3 linked regions of the Notamacropus eugenii genome follow. Each later gene encodes a partner of the first gene's protein in a complex. Links are inferred from orthologs where the notes say so. Each region holds a gene or a part of one and is shown on either strand. Other genes may lie near its edges.

The links.
Region 2: the proteins of GINS1 (region 1) and TOPBP1 are in contact, whole or in part, in a cryo-EM structure (PDB 8OK2), measured with the Homo sapiens proteins. The link is inferred for Notamacropus eugenii from reciprocal best matches to the Homo sapiens genes GINS1 and TOPBP1. Residues at the interface, in NP_066545.3 of Homo sapiens: Asn43, Gln44, Val47, Asn48, Lys51, His66, Arg91, Tyr94, Gly95, Ser96, Asn100, Arg103, Phe104, Arg119, Ala122, Met125, Glu132, Gly133, Leu134, Asp135, Thr137, Gln138, Asp139; in NP_008958.2 of Homo sapiens: Leu490, Leu491, Ser492, Gln493, Tyr494, Glu495, Asn496, Leu586, Ser587, Arg588, Thr589, Val590, Val596, Cys601, Glu602, Val603, Ala605, Thr606, Val607, Gly608, Val610, Lys629, Pro636, Val637, Pro638, Val639, Met640, Thr641, Arg726.
Region 3: GINS1 (region 1) and MCM6 share a complex: the UniProt entries of both Homo sapiens proteins name them as parts of the CMG helicase complex. The link is inferred for Notamacropus eugenii from reciprocal best matches to the Homo sapiens genes GINS1 and MCM6.

Annotation. Positions count from the first base shown.
Region 1 is NC_092872.1:602,536,635-602,543,511, forward strand, and holds the start of GINS1 (DNA replication complex GINS protein PSF1), read left to right. Parts: upstream 1-3,860; 5' UTR 3,861-4,391; coding exon 4,392-4,466; intron 4,467-6,877. UniProt on the Homo sapiens protein: Required for correct functioning of the GINS complex, a complex that plays an essential role in the initiation of DNA replication, and progression of DNA replication forks.
Region 2 is NC_092874.1:41,878,110-41,885,961, reverse strand, and holds the start of TOPBP1 (DNA topoisomerase 2-binding protein 1), read left to right. Parts: upstream 1-4,837; 5' UTR 4,838-5,050; intron 5,051-5,327; 5' UTR 5,328-5,333; coding exon 5,334-5,417; intron 5,418-5,691; coding exon 5,692-5,826; intron 5,827-6,068; coding exon 6,069-6,212; intron 6,213-7,003; coding exon 7,004-7,185; intron 7,186-7,852. UniProt on the Homo sapiens protein: Scaffold protein that acts as a key protein-protein adapter in DNA replication and DNA repair. Composed of multiple BRCT domains, which specifically recognize and bind phosphorylated proteins, bringing proteins together into functional combinations.
Region 3 is NC_092876.1:298,080,245-298,087,099, forward strand, and holds the start of MCM6 (DNA replication licensing factor MCM6), read left to right. Parts: upstream 1-3,840; 5' UTR 3,841-3,976; coding exon 3,977-4,083; intron 4,084-4,778; exon of another isoform or gene 4,779-4,793; coding exon of another isoform or gene 4,794-4,804; intron 4,805-5,640; coding exon 5,641-5,787; intron 5,788-6,855. UniProt on the Homo sapiens protein: Acts as a component of the MCM2-7 complex (MCM complex) which is the replicative helicase essential for 'once per cell cycle' DNA replication initiation and elongation in eukaryotic cells.

The DNA.
Region 1 (6,877 bases):
AAATAATTCTTAATGTTAACCATTTGTTATTGGAATATTGGTATTGGAAACAGATCCTGTCCTATTCAAAGATAACAACACTGAGTTCCCAGGCCAGTGTTTCAGAGAGATACAAACTTTACCTCTCCTTTAGTTGATGACTACCAGTTGTTTGCTATGCATCTTCCTGCCCCTATTTCTAATTGTTTTTCTTCAGAAAGCAGTCTATTTAGAACATTAAATACAAAAACTACCTGAGGTCTACGATAGACAACTTTAAGTATCCTAGTCTATGGCCATAAACCTATGAACAAAATGTTATTCATTCATTCACCAAATGACTATTAAGCACCTACTATATAGAATGCTAAATCAAGTTTCATTCAATAATCTTTTACATTGTCCCACAAGAACTTTATTTAGAGAAGTGTGCTTTGAGATTTTTATTTTACATGATTGTATTCAAACTATCAATACTTCACCAACCTAGATATTAGAGATTTGGACTAGAAGGGACCTTAGAGATTATGTGGTTTAATTCACTCATTTTATTGCTACAGAAACTGAGACCCAGAGAGCTTAAGTGACTTACCCAAAGTCACACATGGAGTAGCAAACAGAGAAAAGAGGATGTAAAACCAGGTCCTCTGAATCCAAATCAAGGACACTTTTCACTGTACTGTACTGATTTCCTAGTGCTTCAAGCATTTAGTAAAACTATATCTAATTAATTTTCATTTATTAACTATTTTCTATAGGCCTATTATTTGAGGTGTATCTATTTGTATTAGACCTCTTGATTTCACAATGCCATAAGAACCGATGGCTACTGGGGAAAAAAAACCAAACACATGACTTGGAGTCAGAAGACTTGGGTTCAGTTCCCAGTTGTACCATTTACTGCCTCTGTAACCATGGAGTAAACATTTAACCTCTATAAGTCTCAGGTTCCTCTTTGGTAAAAATGGGAATAAAAATACTTTATTTCACGGGACTTTTGTGAGGAAAGCAGTTTAGAGCTCATAATGACTATGTAACAAAATTGTAAGTTCATAGAAGACATGGTTTTTCATCTTTCTATCCCCAGGATGTTGCTTCCTAATACTTGTTGATCAAATTTCAAAGTGTGTTTAATCTTTAAGTCATATATGATTATTAAGTCTATGTTCAATCCCAACATGTCTGATAATTCTTACCTACCTAAAATTTTTGATGATGTCACAAATTTAGTATTGTGACTATGTTTAAGAATTATTAGTGTATCATTTGACTGGTGAAAAATAAACAAATGATACATTCAATTACCTTTTCTATATTAATCATTTCAAAGTTTGTTTCCACTTGAAAATATTTTAAATAGCAAGGGGAAATGACTATTTAAAATCTACTAGAAAAATATCCAGAAACTCAATAGCTCTGACTTTTTAAATTATCATTCTAGTATTTTGAAATTTAAAAATTTACTGATAATTTTGCTAAATGTCACAAATACAAATATGTTTTAATATAGTTTTAAAAAAGCATATTATAAAATTCAAATGGTAAATTCCTTAAGGTAGTACAATGGAGATTGGAAATGCTGCAATTAAATGCAACTAAATCGCAAGAAAAAGTTATATTCTAACTCATATATACTTCTGAAAAGAAAGCAACATAATTAAAAACTCTTAGATCTCAGATCGATATCATCAAACTGGCCATTCATCTTATTATGAAGGTGGATACCTGGCAAAGGTGCTATGAGGCTAGTGGAGGCTTGTCCTTATTAGTTTTAAGGACAAGATTTTTAAGTTTTTTGCTTCCAAAATAAGTCTCTCAAACTATTAAGCCTCAAATTAAATTTATACAGTATCTATACTTGTAGCTACTGTAATTCAAAACCATAGCAACAAAGTATCCAATTGGGGCTAGCATGAGTACATTTAGTGTAATTGAATACTGTATTTCAAAACATTATTGATTTCACTGAGGTGGCTATTTAGCCCCTAATAAGGAACAGATAGAAAAGATTATAATTCCTTCATGCCTATTGCTGTGGTCCAAAACATTCATCACCTGGGTGTTGGCCCTTTGATAAGGAGCCTTCCTTCTTTGGCCTTTGGAAATGTCCATCCATTGGACAAACTTAAAACCTTTCCAGCTCAGTAGATATACCTAATAAAACCTCAATACTTAAAAAACAAAAACAAACAGTCCTGTATAGTGTGAACACAGCAGGTGCATTAAAGTAAATATGGTCTAATGGATAAAATGCTAGGCTTGAAGCTAGGAAGAACTAGGTTTAAAATCAGTCTCTAACACTAGTGGTGACACTCTGGGCTAGTCATTTAACTTCCATTTGCCATAGGCAACTCTAGGATTTTATCTACTAAGACACAGAAGAGTTCCCTAAATAACTTCAATCAACGATTCTGTTCCTAGGATACATTAAATAGGATTTTGATTCTGACTGTTTGAATGTTAAGAGGCAGAAGGGGACCTATAGATCCTTCCATTTTACAGAAAAGGAGAGTGAGGATCAAAGAAACAAAATGGCCAGGCCAGATCCTAATCCTAGTTCCAAGACTCTCTACAAATTCCCTAAACAAGAAAATTCCCAAATAACAATTATGTAAAACTTATCTTTGACGCAAGTGAATTGGTGTCTGTTGTTTAGTAATGTTCGACTCTTTTGTCACCCCACTTGAGATTTTCTTGGCAAAGATACTGGAGTCGTTTGCCATTTCCTTCTCCAACTCATTTTACAGATGAGGAAACTGAAGATTAAGTGATTTGCCCAGGGTCACACAGCTAGTGTCTGAGGCCAAATTTGAACTCAGGAAGATAAGCCTTGACTCCAAGTCCAGCACTCTATTCCGTTCCACTTAGATGCCCCAAACTGATGTCTAGCTGGAACATATTCTCTTCCATGTAACCAATAGAAGAAATAGCTCAAAGTTAGGTAATCAGTCCATTAGACTGGGCAGGAATGTTTTTGATTTTGTATATTCAATGCTTAACACAGTGCCTGGCACAAAGACCCTTAAATGCCTGATGACTTCACTTTGATTTGTAGTAAGAAGCTATGGATTTCAATGCCAACTCTCATTTGCTAGCTGTGTTGCATTGGGCAAGTCACTTCACCTAGTTGTTTCCTATGTAAAATGAACTAGATAACCTCTTAAGATTCCTTTCACCTCTAGATTCCAAGATCCCAAGGCAGGAAACAAATTCTAATCCTAGATCTGGCACTAGCAAATGGTGCATTCTAGGAAAGACAAATCACTTTCTCTCTAGGCCTCTTTTTTCTTTAATGACCAGCACAAGATACACAGCCTGGTGAAGTGGCAATATTTGGAATCAAATCCTAGGTCTACTAACCCATTCCCTGTGGAACACTGGTCATATCACTGAACTTATCTGTATGACAGCCCTCAGTTTCTTCATCTGTAAAATGAAGGAGGTTGGACTAGAACACTGTAAGATCCCTCTCAGTTCTAACATTTTTAAAATGGTTTTTTTTTTAACTGTAGGGAGAGGAGCTATTTTTAAAATATGAATATTCTTAAAAATTGATGCCTCTAGGGTAAAAAGTATTTTGCTTTAAAAAAAAAAAGCAAAAACTTGACACTTAAACTACACGTCCAACAGCTAAATATGGAAATCTTGAGATATATCTCTAAAAACTAAATGAATGAAAATGGACAAAATCATTGCCCACTAACCATACATTTATCCAAATCTGTGCATTAGGAGGTCCACTATAGTGGATGAAATGGCTGGGTCACGCCGCAGAGTGGGTCGGTCACTCATGGAACGTACGCAGCGCGGACAAACCACGCGAAGCACAACGCTCTCCGTGACGTCACAAAGAAGCGGGAGGTGGAATTCCCACGCTTTTTGTCAATGGGCCGGCCGGGCCACGTTCGACAGCCCGGGTGGGCCGGGGTTCGGGAGGAGGATACAACAAAATGGCATCAATGACTTGCCTCTCACAGGCGAGAGAGAGCGCCCGAGGGACCTAAGTCCTTCCTTCGCCTGCTTGCCTTTTCTCCGGACAAATTCGGGGGGCACGGTTCCCCGTAGTGCCGCAAACCCAGGCTGCGATGTCCCGGCGCCGGGGCGGAATCCTCGGCCTAGAAAGAGCTGCGAACGGAGACCACCACGAATAGGGGTCGAATTCTCAAACCTGAGGAATCTTGTCCTTCTCCAAAACCCGTAGGAAATCAAGGCAAGCAGGGCGGGAGCGCCGGGGCTCCACCCCCCTCTTCTTCGCTCCGATTGGCCGGCGCGGGTTTGGCGCCAAAGCCACCTGGCCGGGGTCGGAGGGAGGGAGGAACGTCCCGCGCGGCGGCGGCAGCGGCGGCGGGGGTTTGGGAGGCAGGACTCGAGTGAAAGCTGTTGTGGGACTCGCAGCCTGAGCGCGCGGAGCTATGTTCTGCGAGAAGGCCATCGAGCTCATCCGCGAGCTTCACCGCGCCCCCGACGGGCAGCTCCCAGCCTTCAACGTAAGGCCGGGTTACAGCCCTACGGGGGGGTGGGGGGGGGGGATGGCTGGGGGATGGGATTGGTGAAGGAAGGGGGCGGGGTCTAATCGAGGCGAGCGCAGGGGCGGGGCCGGATGAGGGGGAGGAGCCGGGACCGAGATGGGGTAGAATGGTGGGGCTAAAAGAGAGTAGGCTTATAAAGTGAGATGCCGACTGTTAATAGACTGGTGGAAAGGACAGGGCGGGAGGCTACGCTAGCAGTGAATTCTTGGGAGAGGTCTGGACCTGGGGTAGGGCTAGAGATTGGGGGAGTGTGAAAGTGGGAGCTGGGCTTGTGGCTTGGTCAAAAAGGATTTGAAAGGGAGGGGAGGGCAGGAGGAGGGATGGAACAGTGGGTCTGGATCAGGAAAAGGAAAAGGAGAAAGGAGAGGATGGAAGACAGAATGAGAGTGCAAGGGAAGGGCAATACCTCGAGGAACAGGTGTTAAGGGGATGGGCTAAAAATAATGGAATGGGTGCAAGAGTGGCCAAATAAATGAAGAGCTGTGGCAAGTATAGATCCGTTGTGTCTAGACCTCTAATTGTATCCCTACGGCGGTATCAGTCCTTAAGATTTCCTTTTTTTTTTTGACTAATTATTTCAGGAAGCACTAGCAAAAGACACCTCTTTTTAAAAAAAATATATTGTGACTATCTGAAGTTTAATGAACTAGTCAGAAAATCCAGGTTCTTGTCCAGGCTCTGACTTCTGTTTCCGTGTCTTTATTAGCAAAAGAAGGATGTGTACCTGAAAAGATAGACAGATGAAGATATAGGTATGGAATCCTAGGGGTCTTCATAAAGAAATGAACAATGAATTGGACTTTAAAGGATGGATTGGAGCCTTGGATAATCCTGAAAGCTCCGTGAAAACTGACAACCTATGATATGACTCTTTGAGTCTTAGTTTAGTGGTTTATTTTTTGATTAGGAGACTGAGAGGTGGGGCAGGGAGTAGAGTTCTGATTTACCCATGCAATTTATTCTCAGAAGCCCTAATAGGCCTCTAGTCTTAGAGATAACCCACCAAGCAACATATATAGATGTGATTTGACCTATGAAAAAGTTATGGGGAAAAGAGTAATCACCTATGGTTAGCTTTGTACTTTATCATTTGCTTTTTTTCCTCCCTCTATCTCATCTATCTACTGAGTTCTTTAGAGATGTTTTCTTCCATCACCATCATCACTACAACTCTAAGTCACAGTACATAGATAGTGCTCCTTGAGTTCCCACTCTACTAAAGGAGGATAATGCTCCGAGAAGATAGAAATGTGGTCTTAAGTGCTGAATGTTTTCTATCTAAAACAGACTATATAATAGATCTTTATAAGCTACCAATAAAACTTGGAATGAGATTATATTTAAAGTTTTTTTTAATGAATTTAATAGTTTTGAATTTAGTACTAAATTTGGTATTTGTGAATTTAATAATTTTGTCCACTTGGGGAATTTCTCATTTGGAAACTCCCACCTCAGATGCCAATCGCAGCTTTGTAACTAGTACACTTAGAAATTTGCCTGGGGGAAGTGACTGAGTTAATGACCTGTGTGAGGTCTCATGACTTGAATCAGGTCTTACTGACCTACCATGTCATCCCACCTCTCATTTAGGTATGTTATATGGTACTGTAAAGGTAAATTCAATAGAAACTTAATAGTAGAAAGTGCATACTATGTGTAGAACACTGCATTGTACATACTGTGGGATGAAGTTTAGATAAGACATAATCCAGACCCTTATGAAATTTACAGTCCTGTTGAGGGAATAAGACACACATAGATAACATTTTAAGTATGCTAGAGAAGTAGAGAACATTGCTATATGTTGTTCAGTGAGGGGATTGGGAAATGCTTCACAGAGAAGATGGCACTGAGTTGAATTTGGAGTTTAGCAGGTGAAAAGGGGAACACTTTCTAGTTCCTAGAGCAGTATGAATGCAGTAAAGTATATAGTATGTTTGAGGTACATAGTCTGACTAAAGCATATTCATTATTCTCCCTCAAATACTGTGCAATCTGGCCATGCTGGCCTACTTGTTTCAGGGTGCACATAAACTCTCTGTTTCATCTCTGGGCCTTTGTACTAGCTGTGACTCCTGCCTACAGTTCACTCCTTCTTCACCTCCACCTCTTAGAATCTTTGGTATCCTTCAAGACTCAGCTGAAGGACCATCTTCTAAATGAAACTTTTCCTGATCCTCTGGCTGCTAGTATATTTTCTCCTGAAACAACTTTGTATTCATTTTTCATATATTTTGTATATGCTTCTATGCACATGTGGCTTCCCCACAGAAATGTAAACTGCTTGAGCTCAAGGAATGTTTCACTCTTCATGTATCCCTGGTGCTTATTACTTGGATGCTGATAGTGGGTGCTTAGTAAATGCTTGT
Region 2 (7,852 bases), on another chromosome or scaffold:
TTTGTTATGTTAGGTATGTTCAATTGTGCAAAACATAATTACCATATTAGTTATGGTGTCAAAGAAGACACAGAACCAAAGTGGAGAAAAAAATTCACAAAAAATACAGAAAGTGAAAGACAGTATGCTTCAATCTGCATTCATACTGCATCTTTTTTTTCCTCTGGAAGTGAACAGCATTTTTCATCATGAGTTGCTTTGAAGTGTTTTGTATTGCTGAGAATAGCTAAGTCATTCATAGTTGATCATCCTATAGTATTGCTGTTACTGTGTACAACATTCTCCTAGTTCTGGTTACTTCACTTTGCATCATTTCATGTAAGTCTTTCCAGGTTTTTCTGAAATCTTTCTATTCAAATGATAACATTCTTAGAGTACCAGTTAATGTTTTCCTATATAAAAGGTAAAGATTTTGACCTTATTAAGTCCCTTAGAATTGGTCTTTAATGTTTACCTTCTTATCTTTCTCCTGAATCTAGTAGGTTACATTTTCTATTTAGTTCTGATCTTTTCTTCACAAATACCTGAAAGCCCTTGTGTTCATTAAATGTCTATTATTTTTTCCATTCAGGATAACACAGCTTTGCTGGTAAGTTATTCTTGGTTGTAAGCCCAGCTCCTCTGCTCTTCAGAATATATTGCTCCATTACCTTCAGTCATTTAGAAGTTGCTGCTAAGTCTTGTGTTATCCTGACTGTAGCTCCACAATATTTAGCTTTTTTCCTAGTTGTTTGTAGTATTTTCTTCTTGACCTGGGAGTTTTATAACTTAACTGATATTCCTATGAGTTTTCATCTTGGGATCTTTCCAGTGATGATTGGTGGAATTTTTGTTTCTATTTTACCCTCTCATTTTAAAACTTCAGGGCAATTTTCCTTAGCCTCTTAAGGTATAGTATCTAGATTCATTTCTGATCATAAATTTCAGACAGTACAATAATTTTATATTACCTCTCTTTGATCTGTTCTCTAGGTCAGTTGTTTTTCAAATGAGATGTTTTACATTCTCTTCTATTTTTTCATTCTTTTGATTTTATTATTTCTTGGTGTCTTATGAAGTCATTAGCTTCCCCTTGCCCAATTATAATTTTTAAGGAGTTATTTTCTTCTGTAAAGTTTTGGATCTCTTTTTCCAATTGATTGAATTTCTTTTCATACTTTTCTTGCATTACTCTTATTTTTTCCCTAATTTTTCCTCAACTTCTTATTTGACTTTTAAAATCCTTTTTAAGCTCTTTCAAAAATGTTTTTTGGCTTGTGACCATTTTGCTTTTTTCTTTGAAATAGAAGTAGCTGTTCTAACTTCACTATCTTCTTCTGAATTTGAAACTAGACATTCTCTATCACCATAACAGCTATGTATGGTTGGGTTCTTTCTCTTTCACTGTGTGGGATGGCTCAGGTCCCTACATAAATCAATTACTCAGAGGCCTCTCAAAGTGATGACAGAAAAGTGATTTATTCGATTCTGGAGAAGCGGGGCTCACCTGTAGGAGTAGGAAAGCCCAAGACAAAGAACAGGACAGTGATTTATATAGACCCTAACGCAAGTCCCTCCTCCCCCCACTGACCATTATCCTCATTAGCTGAGAATATGGTCTTACATTCTAGACACGAAATCTAACCAATCCCTTTTGAAATGAAGACATTGAGGAATTATGTAAGTTTTGTCCAATCATTGAGACCCTAATACACTACACAGCTTTATATCCTTATATGGAACTATTCTATTCTAAAAATATTGTAACCTTGAGCCTTTAGGCCTTACCTCACCCCTGGGAGAAAAATTACAGTCTGAGGAGTCTGTCTCACTCATTCACTTACACATTATTTTATATTTGTTAGTGGCTTATTTCTTGCTGTTAATTTTGTGTTAAAACTGGGTTCTAGTCCCAAGGTGTACGGGATAATATCTCAGGCTTCAGGGTTTTTGTGTTTTTTTCTGAGCTCTATCCAGGGCCCTAACTTCAGGTATTCCTCTCAGCCCCTGAGCCACAATCAGGTGCCCCTGAAATCCCTGTGGTTCCTCTTGCAGCTCAGCTTCAGCTCACCCCTCTGCACTGAAACCGAAATCAGGGATTCCATTAAGTGCCCACAGCCAACTGGGCCCTTGCCCTCTGTGACCACACTCACCCAGAATGTACTCATTCTTCCTCACCCCACAGTCACAGCCCTAAAATGTATCAGATCAGTGCACCTGTGCCTGGCATCCAGAACCAGCAGAGGGCCCTGAAATCTTCCCTGGGCCCAACGCCCAATCCCAACTACAGTCTGTGGGGTGAAAGCTCCTGAAGCTGAGGATGACTACCAGAACACAGTTGCCCCCACAGCTGGTTGTTTGTTGATTCAGCAATACTTGCCTGGAGGCATCTGCACTACAAAGAGGTCAAAGACCCCAGGACATGGGGTATTTCCTCACAGTCCTCAGAAGTTGTCTTAGGTAGATAACTGCTTTACCTGGCTTTAAATTATTTCTGCCACTCAAAAGTTCACTCTGATGCACTATTTTATATTGTTTGTAGAGAGATTTAGAAGAGCCAGGTAATTTGCTGTTATTCTGCCATCCTCCTAGAATCCCCCTTTTTGGTTTTTAAAATAAATTTTGAGCTCCTTAACATTTGCTTCAATTCTTCTAGGAATTTTGACATGTAGCCCACCTGCATTTTCTTTTAAGGCTTTGCTTTTAAATGTTCTGGAGTCATTCTCTCCTGTGTTTGTATCTCAAGTTTACCCGTCACCATAATTGGACTTTTTTTTATTTGTTTGCTCATTCTTCCAGCCTACTTCTTTACTCTAGACCTTATATTAGTGTTGAACTCTGCATACTTGTGGGGAAAGCATGAATTTCTGTTCTCTTACATCCTTCTGCTGATTTCACAGTTCCAGCTGGGGGCCTACAAGTTTGCAATGCCCCCATAGTGGTGTGATCCAGGGGTTGATCTGTTCACTGCCCTCTGTATCTAAGCTCTGCAAAGTCCTGACTCAGGTTTGTGGTTTACTGTCTTGTTTTTGGTTGAGATCTTCAGTAGCCTTTCACTTAACTCAGGCACTACTGGCCTGCTGGGAAGCTCTGAGGTTCAGAGAAACTAGAGCCCATGCTCACAACTGTTTCTCTCTACCCTACATCTGTGACCCTGAACTGGGTAGAGAATGACAGTTCAACCAGTGTTTGTTAAGGGATCTGCTGGCATCTTTTTTGCTCCAGTGCTTCCTGCCCCAGTGCCCTGTGTTACCCTCTTTCAGTCCCTACCTGTTGGAATGCTCCTTTATGCATGCTTATGGCAGACTTTGTCCTCAGTATTCAGAAATCTGTATCCCAGAGCTACTTTGGACTAGAAAAATGACTGAGTATGACTTTCTTTGCTTTCTTGATCAGAATCAGGTGTGGTGAGTATTTTAGATCTTTGTCAAGGAAGTGTGGTGGGCAAGCTATACTCTAAAGCTTGCTCTCAACTATATTACTGATAATAATAGCATTCATATAGTGCTTTACATATGTTACATGTAGTTACATCAGATCCACAACAACCCTTGTTAAGTAGATCCTCTTGTTTTCTTCCCCCTTTTACAGAGGAGGAAATTTGGGTACACAGAGGTTAAGTGACTTGCAACCCAATGTCTCAGGCAAGGCTGTAATTCATCTTCTTGATTCCAAGTCCTGTGCTCTATCCCCTGTACCACTCAGCTAAAACCCAGGGCACACCTCTTTAAATTTTAAGTCCTGGCCCCCCACTCTACTGTAGGTTTCCTTCATTGTAAATCTTCAGCTTTCTTTTTATCTGGCTCCAGCATGACCGTTTAATTTTACAAGGAAAATCTGCTGGAGTTTTTCTTAGAGTATGGAATTAGCTGAGACTGAATAATTTAATTCAAGACAATTCACTGGGTAGAGATAAAAAGATTTTCTGGCTCAGTTTTAAGATCATCGTTGCTACTTGTAACTTCCAAACCAGTCTCAGTACTTGCTGAATGATTTACAACTCGAATTGAAGTCACTCTCCTTTTGTCATCTTTTGCCATACAATCCTCCTTCCTCTTCTTACAGTATCTTTGGTTAAATATCTTACACTAGCTCTGTGTAAAGCTTGCGTAGTTAGAAATGATACATCTTTCTTTCCCTTTCCAGCATCTGTAAATTCTAACTGCTTCTTTTTTCTTGGATGCAACTAGAACCTCTGCAAGTCTAAAGAAGTTTCACCTGGCCGTGGAGAGTCATGGAGGGCCCTCGGAGCCGGGCCCGTCACAAGTCTGGTTTACGGCCTGCATCTGCACGCTGCTGCTCTGGGGTACTTTCCTATCATTTCCAGGCCTCTCCCCACATGCTGCTGGATTCCGAGTAGGTATGCACCCCTTCAGCTCCTACTCACACATATTAACGGGTGCCCCCTAGGGCGCACGGTTCCGGGTTCCACTTATTAGCGGGGGCCCGGGAGTCCGGGGGCCCGAGGGCAGGAGGGAGGAGCTCCCGGAAGCAGGCGCCGCCTCTGCTCCGGCCGAGCTCCAGGCCCGGTCTTTGGTCCACAGGGAGAGCGGCCCAGAGGGGAAAGTCGCCGGGGGTGGCTCCGGATCCCTGGACGGCGTCTCTGCAAAGCCCTCCGCGGCCCTTCCAGACTCGGTGACTACCATGGCTGCTTCCTACACTCCGGGCTAGGCCAGGGTCCGGAGTAGAAGCCCAAGGTGGAAGAGGAACCCAAGAAAGAGGCCAAGGCCGGATCCTTTCCCCTTCCCGGAAGCTGTCAATCGCATCGCTTCCGCCCGGTGCGGAAGGCTACGGATGGACAACTAGATCCAGCCGCGACAGGAAGTGTCTCCTCCCCTTCCGCACGGCCCCGCGGCGTCACTTCCGCCCCGTGGCGGAAGGGGAAGCCCTCGGGTTGGCGCGAAACTTGGTGGTGCGGCTCCGAGCCCGCTCGACCCCCTCCCCCTCCCCTCCCCCCCTCCCGCCCCCGGCGCGCGCTCGGCCTTTCCTCACGCCGCGTCGGCCGCCTCACTCCCGACGCTCGCCCCGGACTGCAGCCGCCGCCGCCTCAGAACGTCGGAGCCCCGGGGCGGTGAGTGAGGGCGACGGGCGGCGTTGGGGGCGACCGTTGTGTGGCCGCCCCGGGCCGCGGCGGCGGGGGGGGGGGGAAGGGGGGGGGTCCTGTCAGCCGGGCAGCCGAGCCGGGTTCGAGGCCGAATGCCCTGAGGCGCCTGCGGGGCCCGCGCTGCGGGTCGGGGGCCGGGGCGGCCCCGCCCCCTCCCCTCCGGAGCTCCGGGCCCGCCCTCGGGCCTGCTGCCGCTCGGCCTCCGGGCCCGCGGCCCCGTGCTGACGGCGCCTTCTGGTCTTAGGTCGACATGTCGGAAAGTGACCGAGAGCCGTACTACGTGAAGTTTGTGAAGGCGCCCGGGAACTCGGAGGGTTTCTTTACCGCGCTTGGGGTGAGTGGATGGGCCGTGGGGGGGCGGGCGGACCCCAACGTCTCCGCCGCGTAGAAGCGGGTTTGTGAGCGGCGCGGGCCCCGGCCCCGGCTCCGGCTCCGGCTCCGGCTCGGCCCGGTTCGGCTCCGGCTCGGCCCGGCCCGGCTCGGCCCGGCTCCGTGCTCCTGGGCAGCATTTCTGGTCCGCTGCCGAAACGTTCCCGAAGCGCAGCGCGGCCTGCTTGGGGCCTTCCTCTGAATGATTGACGTGCGCTCTCGCTTCGCCTTTCAAACAGTCTATGAAGGAATTCCAGTCGGAAGAGTATCTCCAGACCGTGGCCGAGGAGGAGGCCTTGAGCGTGACGGAGAAGGACCGATCGCTGTACATCTGCGACCCCTTCAGCGGCGCCGTGTTCGAGCACCTCAAAAAGGTGCGTTAAGTGACCGCGTCTGGGTGTGATGCACGAGGAAACGGGAGGGCCGCGGGATCCCCGGGAATGACAGATCTGCGGTGTGTCCTAGTGCATGGATGCTCACGCTGCTGGAAGAACTGGCCTTGGAGAAATAGGCACGAAGGCTGGTGAAGTGGTTGGCAGAAGGGAAGACAAGTGAAGGAAAATCGTCTTTGTTTCGCTACTCAAACAACATAAACCTTGTGTTTTCTGTTCTGTAGCTTGGCTGTAGAATTGTCGGCCCACAAGTAGTCATATTTTGTATGCAGCACCAACGATGTGTTCCAAAAGCAGAGTATCCAGTCTATAATATGATTATGGCAGACGTAACTATTTCTTGTACAAGCCTTGACAAAGAAACAAGGGTAAGATGTTTTAGTAGGATGATAACATCGATATGTATGTTTTATATGAATTTTTTTTGTTGGTTAAGCTGTACTGTGAAATGTTTCGAATTTTATTTCACATGAGAGCAGATGTTTTCCTTTGGCTATTTTGTGTGACACAGTTAACAGATATAGTAGAGGGTTAGGACCTAGCAGTATAAGAGGTGATCTTCAAATTGAGTTGTACCTAGCACAAGTCATCCTAACCAATGATGTTTCATAATAATGTTATAAATGCAATATAACCAAAGCCCTACATATTAATATCATGCAGACAATTTGTAACCTCAGCTGCTCTAGCCACAGGACTGCAGTTTCATGCTCCATAATTTCTGATACCTGCTTCATCCTTCTTCAGATCATAGATGCCCTGGTCTTGTCCCAGTCACTGTAACAAAATGACTATGAGTCCTCATTCCAGAACATTGTTTCTCTCCTTGTTATGTTGTTCTAAGTGCTCTCTATAAAGTTGGTTAGCGTTAGGGTTTTAAATGAAAAAAAAAACAACTTAGTGAATTGTGCTTTTAGTGTCTTTCAGTAGAGCCATTAACCATTTGAAGATCTTCGTATTTCTTTGTAAATTGTTCATCTTAATTGTTGCATCATTGTGCATTTATATATTCATATATAAATAAATCATAAACATAGCACAGCTGTAGTGATTAAATGAATATGAATTTGTTGTGGACATAATGTAGTGAATGCTTTAGAAAACGGGTAACAATGATTATAGATTAACATATTTCTTACCTCTTCCTTTTTCACTCCAGAAAGAAGTTCATAAATATGTACAAATGATGGGCGGACGAGTTTGCAGAGACTTAAGTATATCAGTAACTCATCTTATTGCTGGTGAAGTCGGCAGCAAAAAATATTTAGTGGCTGCAAATCTAGGGAAACCTATTATGCTTCCTTCTTGGGTAAAAGAGCTATGGAAGCAGTCACAAGAGAAGTAAGTTGTTTATTATGACTTAAAAGTTATGTGTAAGATCATGTAAGCCAATCTCATGGGTCCCCTGAAGAAAGTTTTGCAAGTGTCTTCTCTCCTTAATCACTCAGTGACCTAAACAGATTCAGCACCATTCTCTTTCCCAAACCCAGAAGGGTGAAAGTTTCTTAGGCACAGAATGATAATGAGTGCCCGTGGTAGGCAGTGTGATGTGGAAAGAGTATTGGGTTTGGGATCAGAGCACCTCTGGTAGTGGAAATGTGCCTTGAGTGTTGGGCTCCTCAGTTCACCCCTCTGGAAATTCCATTTCCTCATCTGTAAAATGAAGTTGTAACAGATGAGTTGTGAGGTCCCTACCACCTCCCCATTTAGTTTCCTAGAATTAGTTTGTCCCCAGAATTGCCCACATGTACATCAGATTCGAAGAGAAAGTAGACTTGTGTTAAGCATAAATTGCCATTCAGAATTAGCCATAGTGTTCCTAATAGAATAATTGTTTGCAAAGTAGCAATCAAATGGGAGGTGCTTGAGGGTAATTTCAAGCTTTTAAGTTGAAGCCTATGACTTAAAACTTTGGATAAAAACTCTTGTGTTGAGGTTTGGAATTTTTGAATCTGTTTAGAGATAGGCTGTAGAGCATAACAGTCATTTTTTTTTTCCTAAGAAAATT
Region 3 (6,855 bases), on another chromosome or scaffold:
CTAATGAAGAATAAATATCTGACAATGAAATAAGTAAATAGAGAGCTATATTGTTGTCTTGCTCATCAAAGATCACTTATTCAAGCTCCTGGCTACCCAAAATGTGTGTCAGACTCTGAAGAGAATTAAATAGACCTGGTCTCTGATCTATGGAAGTTGACAGTTTACACATAGCAGAATGATGTCATGGGAAGAGCCAGTAGAACTGAGTTTCAGCACTAGGGCCTTCCACTTAATAACTGGGTGACTTAATTTCTTGGAGGTTATTTACATTTGGATTTGTTCATTTTCTATTTATGCTACATATATTTAATAGGTAATTGTCTCCCCTGTTAGAGTATAGAGGTAGGTAGAGTGTGCAGTGGATAGAGCGCTGGGCTTGAAGTCAAGAAGACCTAAGTCCAAAGCCTGTTTTGGACACTTAGTAGATGTACAACCCTGGACAAGTCACTCAACCTCTGTCTGCCTCAGTTTCCTCACTTCATCTATCAAATGGGGATAATAATAGTACCTGCCTCCTAGGGTTGTTGTGAGGATAAAATGAGACAATAGTTATAAAGTGCTGTGCAAACCTTAAAGGGCTATATAAATTATATTTGTTGTTATTAATATAATCTCATTTCAAATGGGTTTTATCCTTTCAGCCCTAGCACATAGAATAAATTTGATAAATTTAATTTGATAAATTTGATAAATTAATATTGATTGATTGTTGGTTGATAGATCGGAGGTGATAAGGGCCTGAATTAGGATGATGAGAGATGTGAATGCAGAAATTATAAAATTTGACAATAGATTGAACAAGTGGGATTAGTAAGTGTATTGAGCTGCAAGAGGAAGGAAAAGGCTATAAGCAGAAATCTGACAGAAGTTTTCTGATAAAAAAAAAAAATGTGTGTGCAGACAATGTAATGACCAGTCATGACTTTAAAAGACTTCTTGGCAGAGAGTTGATGGACTATACCTGTGGAGTAAGACATAAATTTCCAGACTTGGCCATTGTTTTGATGCATTACAAGGAAGGGTTTCTATTTGAAGAGAGCTGGCCAGTAGGGACAGTGATTTGGGAGGGGAAAGTACAAAGATGGATCGATGAAACACTACCAAATACACAGAGGATACAAAGTTAAACTTTACAAAGTAGATGGTCGAAAGGGGCAAAGATAGAAACAAAGAAACTTAAAGATTAGGTCCTTTCAGCTCCCAAGGACAGAATTCCACACCTTGGAAGGGATTTAGTCTTGTCTTTCAGTAGCTAAATAGTATAGAAAACACCCACAGAATCAGCCCCTGGGCAAAAACTGTCTTAATATCTTTGATCCCAGACCCTCATTCTACATAAGATCCAACAGTGATCTGGGAAATGTAACTGGATGGGCTCTATAAATTACATTGGGTCTGAACCAGTGAGAATTCTCTGAATAGAGGGAAGTTTCATCTCAATCAACTCCTACCTGTGAAGCAACAAAGTTTACTGTTTATTGACTCCTCAGTTTATTGACTGACTAGTCAACAAACATTTAAGCACTTACTGCAAGCCAGACATTGTGTTAAGTGCATAGGACAGCCCTCAAGGAGCTCAACATCTAATGGAGAAAGCCAACGCATAAAAAGAAGCTGTAGCGTGAGGGTGTGGGGCGAGTGAAGATTTTGGGGCAGGAGAAATGCAAAATCCTGTAGAGTGTAAAAGATGAAGAGATGAATGTCCTGGGTGGAGGATCTGGGAGGAGCTCACCACTGCCCACTCTCTTCAGTCAGAGAGAAGAAGAGGTCCAGAGGCTGGAGGAGTATTGAGGAGGTGAGTACCAAATCTCCACGCAGAGGCCCAGGGAAAGCAGAATGAGAGACTTGCCTTTGGAACTCTCATGTTGTGATACGTAACCATATTGCTTCACAGTGCTGGGCCTCAGTTATAATGATGAGCGAAGTTCAGACCAAGTCTCTCTGCCCTTTCTGAAAGAGCTATGTAATACGCCAGTTGAAAAGAGCACAGTAGTACCCAGCCAAACTTGAGACTGAAAGGGGTGGATTGTGGTGCCCATCCAAGAGGAAGCAAAGGAGTGGAGAAGATTCATCATCTTCAAACCTAAGTAACCTGCCTGGCTCCACCCAGCAGCACCTAAACCCATCCAGGAAAGACACTATATTTTTAAAGGACCAAGGTGAGATAGCATGAAGAAGTAGCCAGGTCTAGCAGCAGAGTGGCCTATGTTATCCTGCACCAATGCCCCTTCCCACCCTGAACATCATGTTCCAGAGTCATGAGTTGCCTGGATTTCATGTGTTGCCTTTACATGTGTCCCACTACCATTATACTCCAAGCTTGTTCCCACCTCTTTCCACCACCACTCCTGGATTCTGTGTATACTTATATAAGAGTATGTCTCCGGTAAAGGGGGAAAAGTACCTTTTCTAAGATCTAATGGAGATACTAGCCGATTGTTAATGGAAAGCACACTAGTTGGGGGATCAAGAACTTCAGTGTTAGTTACCCCTAGAGTAATTCCTAGAACTCAAGGTAGAATTCACCACTCTGGGGCCTCAACTTGCCAGTGCAAGTGCAAGTTATGAATGTGATCTCACAGGGGATGCTACTATACCCAGAAGAAAGAAGAAGGATATTGGGAAGTGGCACAGGGCAGTTTTGTTACTATGATGTTAAATTTAACATACACTCTTTTAAAAAGCAGGAGAAAGGGACAAGAAGGGAAGGATAAAAGTAGGAAAGTCATTCAGACATGATGTACTTCAGGCCATGGGCAGGAAGAACTATGAGAGTCAATGATGTTCAGTTGGAGAGGCCAGCCTTGGACTTGGCATAACCTGGTTTTGCCAAACTTTCTGCTTCTCCCCCTCCTCAATATGTAGAATCCTACATACCAGGGTAAGCATGGATTTCATAGGGAAGACATGGGTTCTTGTTCAAAAATGTCTTATTGGTTTCCTATCTTGAAGTCACAGGCATCGCGATGCAAGGCACAGGCTACCTATGCTATGAGAGGCCCCAGTTATACAAGGATGAAGGATGGACACTTCTAGAAAAGAGCGGGAAGGAGCAGAGGCAGACTACTGCCAGTAAGCCCTTTGCATCTGAGATAAGCCACCAAAACCACAGAAGACTACACCCACTCAAGTTGAAAAAAAGAAGTCGATAACAAGTATAGTTAATCAAAACCAAACACCGCTTGGCCAGTTCCAAAAACATATATCTCATTCTGCATCTTGGACTAGCACCTCTCCGTACTCAGGTGGCTAGCATGCTTTGCTATTGGTATTCTGGAATCATGGTTGCTGATTTCATTGTCTCTTTCTTCCCAGAAGCTCCATTTAAAGAGGGTGCCCAGGCCAACCATCTCTTCATTTCTCAAGAAGCTGCAATCTGGACTCCTCCATGATGCTTCCAGACCTGGTACCTTTCACACACATACGCTGAATCTTGTTCGGCGGCAGAATAATAACTTGAGTCTGTTAGAGGCATTTTAGGGGCGCCGCTCCCGACAGTCCCAGGTTCAAATCCACCCCAAGGCTGCAAGCTCCGGCAAGCTTCTTCAGCTCCTGGGGCCTCGGTTTCCTTATGTGTGAAATGAGGGGGATGACCTGGATAGGTTCCTTCCAGGTTTAGAATTATGATCAATCAGTAAACATATGTAAAACTTCCACACTCGGCAAAGAACCCAGGCAGAGGCACCGGGTAAACTCCCAGAAAGTTTGGAGCCCCGGGGGCGTAGGGGAGAAGAGGCCCCGCCCACAAGCATTTGGCGCGAAAAGCTTCGCCGAGTGGGCGGGGCTCTGAAGGAAACAACTCCTCATTGGCTAGGTTTGGCGCGAAAATCCGGGCCTGCGGGCCAGCGATTGGCTGAGACAGTCTCGTCCGGAGAGCCGGCAGGGAAGACGCCTTTTCTCTCCCGGCCGGGCGAAATTGCGCTTGGCTGATTTGGGGAGGCTCGAGCACCGGCGACCTAGACTGACCGCGGCCATGGACCTAGTGGCAGCTGCGGAGACGGGGGCGGGGACCCCGCACGTGGAGGTCCGCGATGAGGTGGCGGAGAAGTGCCAGAAGCTGTTCCTGGATTTCCTGGAAGAGTGAGTGGGGGGCCTGGCGGAGGGGGAGGGGACTCCCACTGCCTTCGTAACCCGTGCTTGTGGTCCGGGCCCTCCGCCCCGCGGCCCGCGGCCTGGGGTCCGGATCCCCCCGCCCCGCCCCAGGGGGGGCACGCAGGCTGTCGCATCCCCCCTAGCCCATTTTGCTCCGTTACCCTTCCGCTCGTACCCCGAGCCCCTCCCCCGGCAGTGGTTGGGACACTCGGTACCTTGAGGTAAAGCCCCTCGTCCCCGGGCCGGCCCCGTGACCCCAAGACTCCTGGGTCTCTCCCGGTGCCCATCCCCCGCGCACTGTCCTGCCCTCGCTCCTGCCGGGGCACACCACGTTAAGAGCCGAATGTCGGCCGGGCTTGCCCGGGTGGGGAAGACTAGTTCCAGAAGAGGTTTCCGGAGTTTTATGTGGGTTTTTTTGCGTGTCGTGTTCCCCGCGGCCGCTAGGTGGCGCCGTGGGACCGAGTCCAAGTCCTGCCTAGGACTGCCTAGGCCGGCCTCGCGGTCTGGTGGGGCTGGTAACAGTATCCAGCCCTGCGTGCGGAGAGGAGCGGCGGTGAGGGCTGTGAGGGGCGGTCCGCGAGGCCAGGGCCCAGCGCTTGACCTTTCTTTGTCAGCCCCGGTCCCCCGGAGCGTGACTGCAGGGCGGGGACTTGGAAGTACGGACCAGGGCCTCCTCCCACTGTGCTGGCCTGGGGCTAATGACCTGGAGGTACTTTGCGCCCAGCCTTGGCGGGGTGATCTTCTCTGACAGTTGTATCATGTTTTGTCCCTGATGCTCTCATCCCAGGCCTGGAGGTTGCATCTTTGTATCTTCTTCTCTGCAACAAAGAGCCCTGGGCTTGAAGTGGGAGCATTGACGTTCTAAAATGGAAATGATACATTGAAACCTGTGAAAGCCATTTGTAAACTATGAAGCACCCACACTTACGTGTTGCTATTGGGTCAACAGAACCCGTATGTTCAGTACAAGTGATTACTCCCTCCATTATTCAATCCAATGTATTCTGTTTTGTAGAACAGAGAGCAAAAATACATAAATAAAAAAATAACCGTAAATTCTTGTAACCTTTCTGCTTTGTCTTATAAGGCTGGAAAAATTTTTATTCATCTTTGTGTATGTAGGCATCTTGTGAATCTCCCGTTTCCCTTCCCTGCTAAAAGTTGTCAAGGATGCTTTTGATAGTGAATATGTTTATTTCTACCTTGGTTCTAGGACCAGCATTTAAAATATCCTTTATATTTGTGAAAATCAGCTTAGGTAAGCCCCCTTGAGTTTCTGGGTCTTTCCCCTGATCTTAAGAAGTCTTCCATCTTCGTATAATAATATCTGGTACTCCAATTTTTTTTCTCTCCCCTAGCCATTTGGCTTCTGAGCTTCACCTTCTTCCTCCTTAAAATGGGAATAATAATGCTCACGCTACTTAATTTCCAGGACTTGTGAAGAAGGCAATTTTTAGACTTTAGGACACTACACACGTGTGCACCATATGTGTGTGTATCTATGCCCACCTATTTAATTTGATCTGGTCTTGATGTTTCTTACAGATTCCAGAGCAGTGATGGAGAAGTAAAATACTTGCAGCTGGCAGAAGAGTTGATTCGTCCTGAGAGAAACACATTAGTTGTCAGTTTTTTGGACCTGGAGGAATTTAATCAGCAGCTTTCCACCACTATTCAAGAGGAGTTCTACAGGTATGATGTCTTATTAAAAAAAAAAAACCAAAACAGTTTGATTGAGGACAGAAGCCAGAAAAACAGCTGGTTTCTTAGACTTATGGACCTATAAAATGTCAGAGCCAGATGGGGCCTTTGAAGTCAGTCCAAACTCTTCACTTTACAGAGAGGTCTTGGTCAGAAGGTATTCTATTAGTAAGTCACTTATCACTGGAGACATACTTTTCATGAGCTACTAAAAAGTAGGAAGCCCCTAAGAGTAATGCACTGATGCAAACATATCTCACACCCATGTGCCCATGAGTTTTGTCATACTTAGAATCACTCTGTGGTCTACCGAAGTTCCTGTCTTGTTTACAGTTGTTCAAATTTTATATCAGAGAGTTTGTTTCATTTTAGGTATTGAACAGTAACGTAGTATTTACTTTGTCCCCTCACAAAGGTCCCTAGAGGAAAAGAACTGTATATGGGATAGTGTGTGTGTGTGTGTGTGTGTGTGTGTGTGTGTGTGTGTGTGTTCGTGTTCGTGTTCGTGTTCTAAGGGGCCCTCAGGATTTCTTTTCTGTCTACAGAATAAATCAGTTTAAAATGAACATCCAGGGCAACCTTGAAGGAGAAAAGAAGTCACAAAAGGGAAGTGAGTGGGGGTAAAGTCCCCTGCTATTAGTAATGGGGAAGCAACCTTCCCAACACCTAGGCAGCTAGGAGGTACAATGGATAATGTTGGACTTGGGAGTTAGGAACGCGTTAGCTCGGATCATGCCTCAGAGCTTTGCTGGCTATGTGGCCCTGGGCAAATCCTTTAACCTCTAAGCCTCTGTTTCTTTATCTGTAAAATGGGGATAATAATAGCATCTAGCTGTGAGGAAGTCAGGAGGCCTGAGATGAGGAAGGAGAGCCTTCATTCCACTACAAACACAGACTAATAATGGCTAACCCATACATAGCATCTACTGTGTGTCAGGTATTCTGCTGAGTGCCTTACAGTTATATCATTTGCAAAACTTGAAAGTATTATAAGAATCCTAGCTAAATGGTTCTAACCTGGGCTCCATGAACTTTTTTTCCTTAATATTTTGATAACTG